Oryctolagus cuniculus: one gene and its partner. The protein of the gene in region 2 purifies or fractionates together with the protein of the main gene of each other region. This does not show direct contact. Links are inferred from orthologs where the notes say so. Each region holds a gene or a part of one and is shown on either strand. Other genes may lie near its edges. The genes, in order: LARP7 and SRSF6.

What was found.
Region 1: the proteins of SRSF6 (region 2) and LARP7 purify together in Homo sapiens (affinity purification with mass spectrometry; 3 studies listed by BioGRID and IntAct, with this or other methods). This does not show direct contact. The link is inferred for Oryctolagus cuniculus from reciprocal best matches to the Homo sapiens genes SRSF6 and LARP7.

What each region holds. Positions count from the first base shown.
Region 1 is NC_091439.1:52,309,215-52,313,026, forward strand, and holds part of LARP7 (la-related protein 7), read right to left. Parts: intron 1,865-3,812; exon of another isoform or gene 1,782-1,864; intron 902-1,781; 5' UTR 900-901; coding exon 701-899; intron 414-700; coding exon 313-413; intron 216-312; coding exon 132-215; intron 1-131. UniProt on the Homo sapiens protein: RNA-binding protein that specifically binds distinct small nuclear RNA (snRNAs) and regulates their processing and function.
Region 2 is NC_091442.1:15,437,229-15,441,584, forward strand, and holds the start of SRSF6 (serine/arginine-rich splicing factor 6), read right to left. Parts: upstream 3,055-4,356; 5' UTR 2,883-3,054; coding exon 2,776-2,882; intron 2,548-2,775; coding exon 2,399-2,547; intron 1,168-2,398; coding exon 1,043-1,167; intron 905-1,042; coding exon 696-904; intron 504-695; coding exon 420-503; intron 315-419; coding exon 1-314. UniProt on the Homo sapiens protein: Plays a role in constitutive splicing and modulates the selection of alternative splice sites. Plays a role in the alternative splicing of MAPT/Tau exon 10. Binds to alternative exons of TNC pre-mRNA and promotes the expression of alternatively spliced TNC.

The DNA of each region.
Region 1 (3,812 bases), on a different chromosome or scaffold from region 2:
AACAGTATTAACATGTAATAACAGCCTTTCACAATTCTTGTATGTCAATAAATTTTAAACTTAAAACACTAAAAATGTGTCTGTCATTCTACTAGGGACCTGGGTTCTAAGCTTCTCAAGAAATGGCTTACCACATACACAGTCCGCTCATCTTCATCTTTTGGTCTTTCACCCAGAGGTTTTTTCCTCCTGATTCTGGTGCCTTCTAAATCCAGCTTTAGAACCAAATATTAAAAATAATTTAAATATTAAAATTAGTACAACTGAAATAACTGAAATAAAATTGCAGTAAATGTAAAATTTAAAAATTACCTCCACAATTGCTGAACTTTTCAATGCTCTGGCTATTAACTTCCCATCAGTAGTCAGTTTTTTCATTTTGTTAAAAGACAGGAGAAGTGAAATATCTACATCTAACAAAAAGTGCATAAATATGACAGTAAAACACTGAGTCTACACCATCTGTGTAAATACAATTTTTGATTCAATACTTTTGAAAAGTTGTATATACAGATCTTGTAGAAATTTAGAAATGACACCTGAGAATTAGACTGGGTGAAATAAATGCCTCTCATTGGGAAGTGTAAAATATTTGAATTGGTATTTTGCTGCTTTTATATCTGGGCAGCAGATAAAATAGGAATTCATTTCTTACCCAGTTATATACATTTATTTATACATAATTTATTTCTATACTTACATCCATCTCTTGATTTTTCTATCTGTTCACGAAGGAATCTATCTTTGTGGAGATTTGCATCCCCAAACCAGAAGTCTACTTGCTTAGCGATGTCTGCAAGCACCTGTTTAACTCTAGACCTTTTCTTTTTTTCTACATCTTTTTTCTTGTCAGTGCTTTCCTCTTCTATACCCTTTTGATTTCCATTTTCAGTTTCCATTTCTGTGAATTAGAAAAGTAAATCACAAATTATAGTCAAAATGGGAAAAATCCAAATATTAACTGCCTGTCAGAATAAAAGTACCTTTTAGGTAAAACATCCTAGCCTAGTGACAGTGGATAAAGGAAAATAAACTGCTTGCTTGATTTTGAAAACATCTGTTGGTTCCTATAAGCAGTGAGTTCAACTCAAAGCTATAGAATTAGCCTTTTGTTTTTCAAGCCTTTAGTTTCCAACCCCTTTACCTCACCTTTTGTTCCTTTAGCTTCAGCTATAATTGGTCCTCATATCCTGCAAACTCCATGGTAAATCTTCTGAATTTACAGTCTCCCTGAAACACTCCCTTTATTTTTCTCCACAGAATTTATCATCTAACATTTCAGCAGTTTAAACTTCCTTAATTCCTGGCATACCTTCAAAAATAATTACATAAAAGCATCAGGTTTAATGCTGGCCAGTCTGAGATTGACTTCAGGTTCCCACAATATGGTTTACTTTATACAGGGTCATTTTTAATCAAACTGAAATCAACACAGTATTAAAGCCTATTTCTGTCTCAAGTCTGACTGCCAGCTAGAATCATTAGTTGTACAGCGGTACTTCTGACATAACAGAAAAAATGTTTTTCAAGCAGAATTTGGCTTCTAAAACTCCAAAGCCTTATACTATTGATTGAGGATGACCTAATTATAGTATTCAATGGTGGGATCTTTGCAAAGGTTATTAGGTTGCTGAGGTGAGCCCATGACTTAATCATGAAGAGAGGCACAGGGACACAGCATGCTCTGTGTCTCTGCTTCCTGGTCCACTATCCTAGGGCCTCACAAAAAGTTGACTAATACTCAGTATAAAGATGTTAATAAAGAGGTTAATGACTCTCACCTCAAATCTTCAAATATGCAGGCCAACAAAAGTTAGCAGAAGAGTATTTTTTACAACAGGCTTCAGCTGATAATCAGGCACCACTTAAAAAATATACATTATGAAGTATTTAGTTGATGGCATAAAAGGTAATAATTATTAAAATAATCAGGTGTTATTTAGTATCAAATAACTTCATTTCTTCATATTCTTACTTCTACCCATCCTATCAGACTTTTCTTCATACTATTCCAGTAAAATTGCAAAGGCATTAGTGAGCCCCACTGTCTACAAAAACTTTCAATAGCATTTGCAGTTGATAATTTCCTCCTTGAAAATATCTTCTTTGTATCGCTTCTAAGAGAGTTTTCCTTCTGCTTAATTTCCTTTGCAGACTTCTGGGTTCTACCTTTACATGCTGCCTGTGATTGGACTAGGTCTTGAACATCCTTCCTATTTACACATTCATGCTTTCTGAGGGTCTTGGCTTTAAGTGGCTATTTTAGTGTAAGGCCACCACAAAACACACCAAACACCAGAGTAAGGGAAAGGGCTTATTGGGGCAAAGAAGGAAAAAGAGGGAGAAGGAGAGCATAAGAGAAATCAAGAGAGAGAACGAGACAGTCCATGCTTTCCAAGGATCTTGGCTTTAAGTTCCACGGCTTTATGTGGCTATTTCACATTTTCTCATTAGATCCCCACTCCAATGTCCAATGGTCCATCTGACACTGCCATTTGTTTATGTAAAGCACGAGGTGGGGAGAGGAGGATGGGACCTTTTTTTTTCTGCCAAGGGCCATTTGGATAATTATAACATCATTCACAGGCCACACAAAATCATCAACTTAAAAATTAGCCTGCTGTAGATTTATTAAATTTATAGAGTCCCACCTGTGGTTGCCTTGACAAGGTTGGCCAAAGGATTCCTGGGTCTGTCTTATATGGCCCATGTTCCCCACTCCTGATCTAAAGGATATCTCAAAATTAACATGGCAAAAATAGAACTTACAGAGTTAAAACAAACCCACTCTTTCTTCAGCCCTGCCCCAGTTTTCCCTATCTCAGAGTCACCAATTACAAAAATGCTAAAGAGGGCAAAAATCCTGAAATCATTTTGAATTCCTCTTTACCACAAACCCCACAGTCAATTCATCAACATTTCCATTAGCTTTACCTTTAAACCAGACCCTGAATATGAATACCTGTTACCCCTTTCACAACTATCTCATCCAAACAATCATCATGTCTTGCCTAAACTACTGTTAACATCTTCTATACTAGTCAGCCTGCTTCTACTTTTTCCTTTATACTCAATTCTCCAGATAAATTAATAATTTAAACATGTAAACCCATTATGAGAACTCCATACACAAGTTCCTGCACAAGTTTCTTAAAATAATTTGACTGTTTATCTACCTCACTAGAACTTAAATGCTATGAGAGGACTTTATCATTATCTAAGTATCTGTTGAATACTTAAATAAAAATTATTTAAAATTACTTGTGAAATGTTAAACATTTCAAATTCTTTCGTAAGTCGGTAGACCATAAATAAAATACAACGGGGTTGGTGCTGTAGCAAGTAAAGCATCCCATATGGGTGCTGGTTCGAGTCCTGGCTACTCTTCTTCTCTGGCTCCTTGATTCTGTGCCAGGAGCCCCTATACCCATGCAGGAGACTGGGAAGAAGCTCCTGGCTCCTGGCTTTGGACTGGCCCAACTCTAGCTGCTGAGGTTATGTGGCAAGTCAGCCAGTGGATGCAAGTTCTCTGTCTTCCTGTAAACTCTGCCTTTCAAATAAATGAAATAAATCTTTTTTTTTTTTTTTAAAAAGGTACAAGTGTAGTCTATGATTATCACTGTAGCAGGCTCCAGTGTCAACAATGAATCGTAAGGAGCAGACAACCTGTTTTCCAACTAGTTTCCTTGTCTGAGCCACCACTTAAGAAGCAGTGGACAGAGCTGCACATGCACATAAGTCACAATTCTCCCAGAAAACTTTCCCCTCCATTTTCACAGCTCAGCCCAAAGACTCCTTCTTTCTTATTAAAA
Region 2 (4,356 bases):
AACGGGACCTTGAAGTTGCTCTTTTTGGTGGAGGGGACACAGAACGAGCCTTTGAGGGCGGAACAGGTAGGGGTGAATTGGAACGAGATTGGCTCCTTGATCTGGATTTTGACTTTATGTCACCTTTTCCATTTTCTTTGGGGGACCGAGAGCGAGACCGAGACCTGCTTCGGGATTTCTCATACTCATCCTTAGATCTGCTTCGAGAACGTGACCGAGAGCCCCGATCAGACTTGGGTTTGGATTTGCTCTTCGATCTAGATTTCCTGCCTTTTGATCGAGAACGCGATCGACCTTTGCTCCGCGACCTGGATCTGGACACAGAAAAGCCCAATTTCTTTTAATGCCTTGCAGCACACACACGCACCCCACGAACAAGCACAGCAGCAGCCAGAAAAAAAGGACAACACAATATTTACCGGGAGCGACTTTTAGAAATACTTCCAGATCTACTGCGGCTGCTCCTGCGACTCCTACTTCGTGACCTTCTTCTAGAACGTGACCTGTAACAGAACCCACAAGGAGCCCTTAACCTCAACAATGTTTGTGCCTTATCAACAGATCAGCCACACACACACACAGAACGCATTTGCTTACCACAAAATTAAATGCACTAACAAAGCATATGGCAAAGAACCCAAGATGCATAACCAGAAGTACCAGTTACTGCTCTCCATGTTCTTCAAACAAGTTACCTAGATCTGCTTCCAGAGTAAGATCGCCTATGGCTTGTTCGTGGCTTATCTTCAATAAGCCTAATATTTCTGCCATTTATTTCTGTACCATCCAGTTTATCCAAAGCACGCTTCATGTCCGAGTAGGAGCGAAATTCAATTACACCTTCATTTGTGCGTTCTTTGTGAGCATCCGCATAGGTTACTTCACCTGCTTGGCGCATGAAATCCTAAAACAGCAACAAGACTGCTCAGGTGCAGAAATCTGAGGGAAAGTATCTATACCATACTGAGTTCTTAAAAAAATAAAGATTGCAAAAGAGTTTACTTTCAGCATGAATCTTAACCCCTTTCATTGTAGCACTTACCTTTAAATCTTGCCAACTGCACCGACTAGAAAGATTTTCTACAATTAGCCTGTACTCTGTACGAACAGGTGGTCCATATTTGTCTCTGCCAGAGGTTCTCCGACTGCTGTATCCACCACCACCACCTTTATCACACGAAGGGAACAATCAGGTGCTTGCAATGGTAAGGATGGATAACGTTTTTGAAAGTTAGTACAAACATATCAACTTTCATATACTGGAGTAGGACTTTGCTATTACACTGCTAAACCTTTGATACATTTGTGATTTGCCATAAATTAAATTAAGGGCAAGTCAAATAGACTAAATCCGACTAAACCTCTCCTACAATCTGTTAGAGAGTGACTGCTCCTTTATTCAATTTACCTCGCTAAGTTTTATTTTACAGAACATTGTAAAATATAAAACTTAACTGATTACATGCATTTCTACATTTTACAAAAATGTTTACTAGTTACACTAAGTACTTACATCACAGTGTGAGGTTTTTGGTGGTGGTTTGGCCACAAAACACGCAAGGTAACAGTCACCTAGTTCAGATTAACCAGTTTTGTCTAACCCTTGGAATCCTCACCATCACCCTGCGTCTAATGGCAAAAGGCTGCTGTCGTCATGGCTTCCGGTAAGGTCAGCCAAAGGGTCATAGGGCAAGGGTCACACAATGTATGGAAAAGCCAAGGCCAATCAGGAAAGGCAGTCATCTTAGCCTCAGTGGACACAGCCTCAGCCCCATTGGTCACTTTCAAATTGAAACATCAAGGACTTGTTAAAAAGTTTGAATTCAACATGCAACAATTTCAACATCAAACATTTAAAATAACCACCCCCACCCGTCCTCCCAATAACATGCCCCGGCAGTTCAAATGCAGCATAAAGCTTCTTTAGATTTAGTTTGTGGTAAAGTACCACGTTAGAATCGCATTTTCTTTGCCCCCACCAATTTTCCTAACTCCTAACTACAGGCTCCGCCCCTTTCCCCGCCCCCGCCCCCACCCCAACTCCCCCACTTCTAGCTAAGGCACTGACAGGTGAGCCGGGGGATTCGGTCAGTACGGCCGCCCCTCGCTCCCTCCGTGGGCAGCACCCACGTCAGTGCCAACGGGGCTCCGCACACGCCACCCCCTCCCACCGCGGCCCGCACCAAGCCCCAAGGCAAACACCCGGACCCAATCCCCGCGCTCCGGTGTCCCCCGGCTTCCCCGGGCAGGCGGGGCAGCGGCGGGGCCCGGGCGCGCCGGGACCAAACGACCCCCGGCCCCCGCGCCTGCCCGGGCTGGGAAGCCCCGCCCTCCACCCCGGTGCCCGCGTCCGCCCCCGGGGTCCCAAGGACGCGGAGCGCGCGGGGATGCGACTCACTGCGGCTTCCGTAGCTGTAGCCGTCGCGATCGCGGCGCGGGCCCCGGGCGTGCTCCACGATCACGCGCTCGCCGCAGAGCTCCTTGCCGTTCAGCTCGTAAACGGCGTCGTCGGCGTCGCGGGAGTCCTCGAACTCCACGAAGCCGTACCTGGGGGCGGCCGAGGGCCGGGCCGGCGGGGGCGTCGTTAGCCGGGGGCGCGCACGTACGCGCCCCCGCGGCCGCCCGCGCGCGCCCGCGGCGCCGCGCCGCCGCCATCTTGGGAGGCCCTGCCACGCGGCGCCGCGGCCTCAGCGGCCTGCGTTGCCGGACGGCCCCCGCCGCCGCCGCCAGGCCCGGGGCGCTGGGCGCGGACGCGGGCGCCCAGACCCGACTCACCCGTTTTTTAGGTCTACTTCGAGGAGTCGGCCATAGCCACTGAAAAAGCGCTGTATGTCCTTCTCCCGGACGTTGTAGCTCAGGCGTCCTATGTAGACGCGCGGCATGTCCGTGGCGGGCGTGGTCCCGGAGGCTGGCTGTCGAACGGCTGGCCGCAAGGCGGTAGCCGCGGTGCGGGTGCGGGGACGGCGAAAGCCCGAACACGCGCCTCACACCGCAGCGGCGGCCGAGTCCAGCCACACAATGGTGCGCGCGCGCGCCAGGGCTACGCTATATGGGCGGCCGGAGGGGGCGTGGCCCGGCGCGTGACGTCAGCGCGCAACACGCTGCCTTCCCGCTGCGAGCGCGGGGCTGGAGGGTGCCGGTGGACTCCGCAGCCCGTGAGATTGCGGTAAAAAGTGTTAGCTTGTTCGCGACCTTGATTTTCTCAAGTCTCCCTACAAAGTTTTGTGAATACAGTGTCCCGTGGTTCAGCCGCGGACTTGTCTTCGGACTTACACCTTTAAAAAACTTCCATAGGGCGATCGCCTGGGGGCTGGTGCTTGGGCGGGACGCTAAAAAAAAATTCCCCGGTTTTCATTGGTTCTCAAGGTTGTCATAATAAGACCCTTGGTTTTTGATTGGGTCCTCCAAACGAGGCTGCGGGTTCCCGCCGCCTATTGGTTCGCGCTCACTTTGGTGGGGAACGCGGTTGAGCAGCCTGTGTAGCAGAACCCGCGGGGCGCGCGAGGGGGTCGCGGTGACTCTGCCAAGGTCGCGCTGTGGGCGCCCAGCCGTGGGGGCCGCTGCCCCTCGGGGGCTCCTCCGCCCCCTTCAGCCGTTCCCCTCCCCCTCATGAAGCGCCGGCCTCTTGAGTCGCCCGAAGGTTGGGCTGTGCGTGGGAATCCCACGCTCGCTGCGGGTGCCCGAGAAGGCTGAGCAAGCCCTCCCACGGCGGAGAGCGTGTCCTAAATGCTAGTCTCTACTCCCAGGGTTGGAAAGCGCGGGAATATGCATTTGTGAGTTTATCAATAGAGATGGCATTTAGTGCTGGAGAACGAGGCGAGAACTGAAATGACATTTTTTAAAGTACTTTTTTTTTAAAAAAATATTTTATTTATTTATTTGAAAGTCAGAGTTACACAGAGAGAAGAGGTAGAGACAGAGAGAGAGGTCTTCCATCCGCTGGTTCACTCCCCAATTGGCCACAACGGACCGAACTGCGCCGATCCGAAGCCAGAAGCCAGGAGCTTCTTCCCAGTCTTCCACATGTGGCTTGGTCTCCCTTGTCGATGCAGGGGCCCAAGGACTTTCGCTGCTTTTCCAGGCACATTAGCAGGAAGCTGGATCAGATGTGGAGCAATTGGGACTGGAACCGGTGCCTGTACTGATGTGGTGCAACAGGCAACAGCTTAACTGGCTAGGGCATAGTTGTGGCCCCGACGTTTATCTTTTTTTTTTAAAGATTTTATTTATTTATTTGAGAGGTAGAGTTACAGACAGTGAGAGAGAGAGAGACAGAGAGAAAGGTCTTTCTTCTGCTGGTTCACGCCCCAGATGGCCCCAATGGCTGGAGCTGTGCCAATCCGAAGCCAGGAGCCA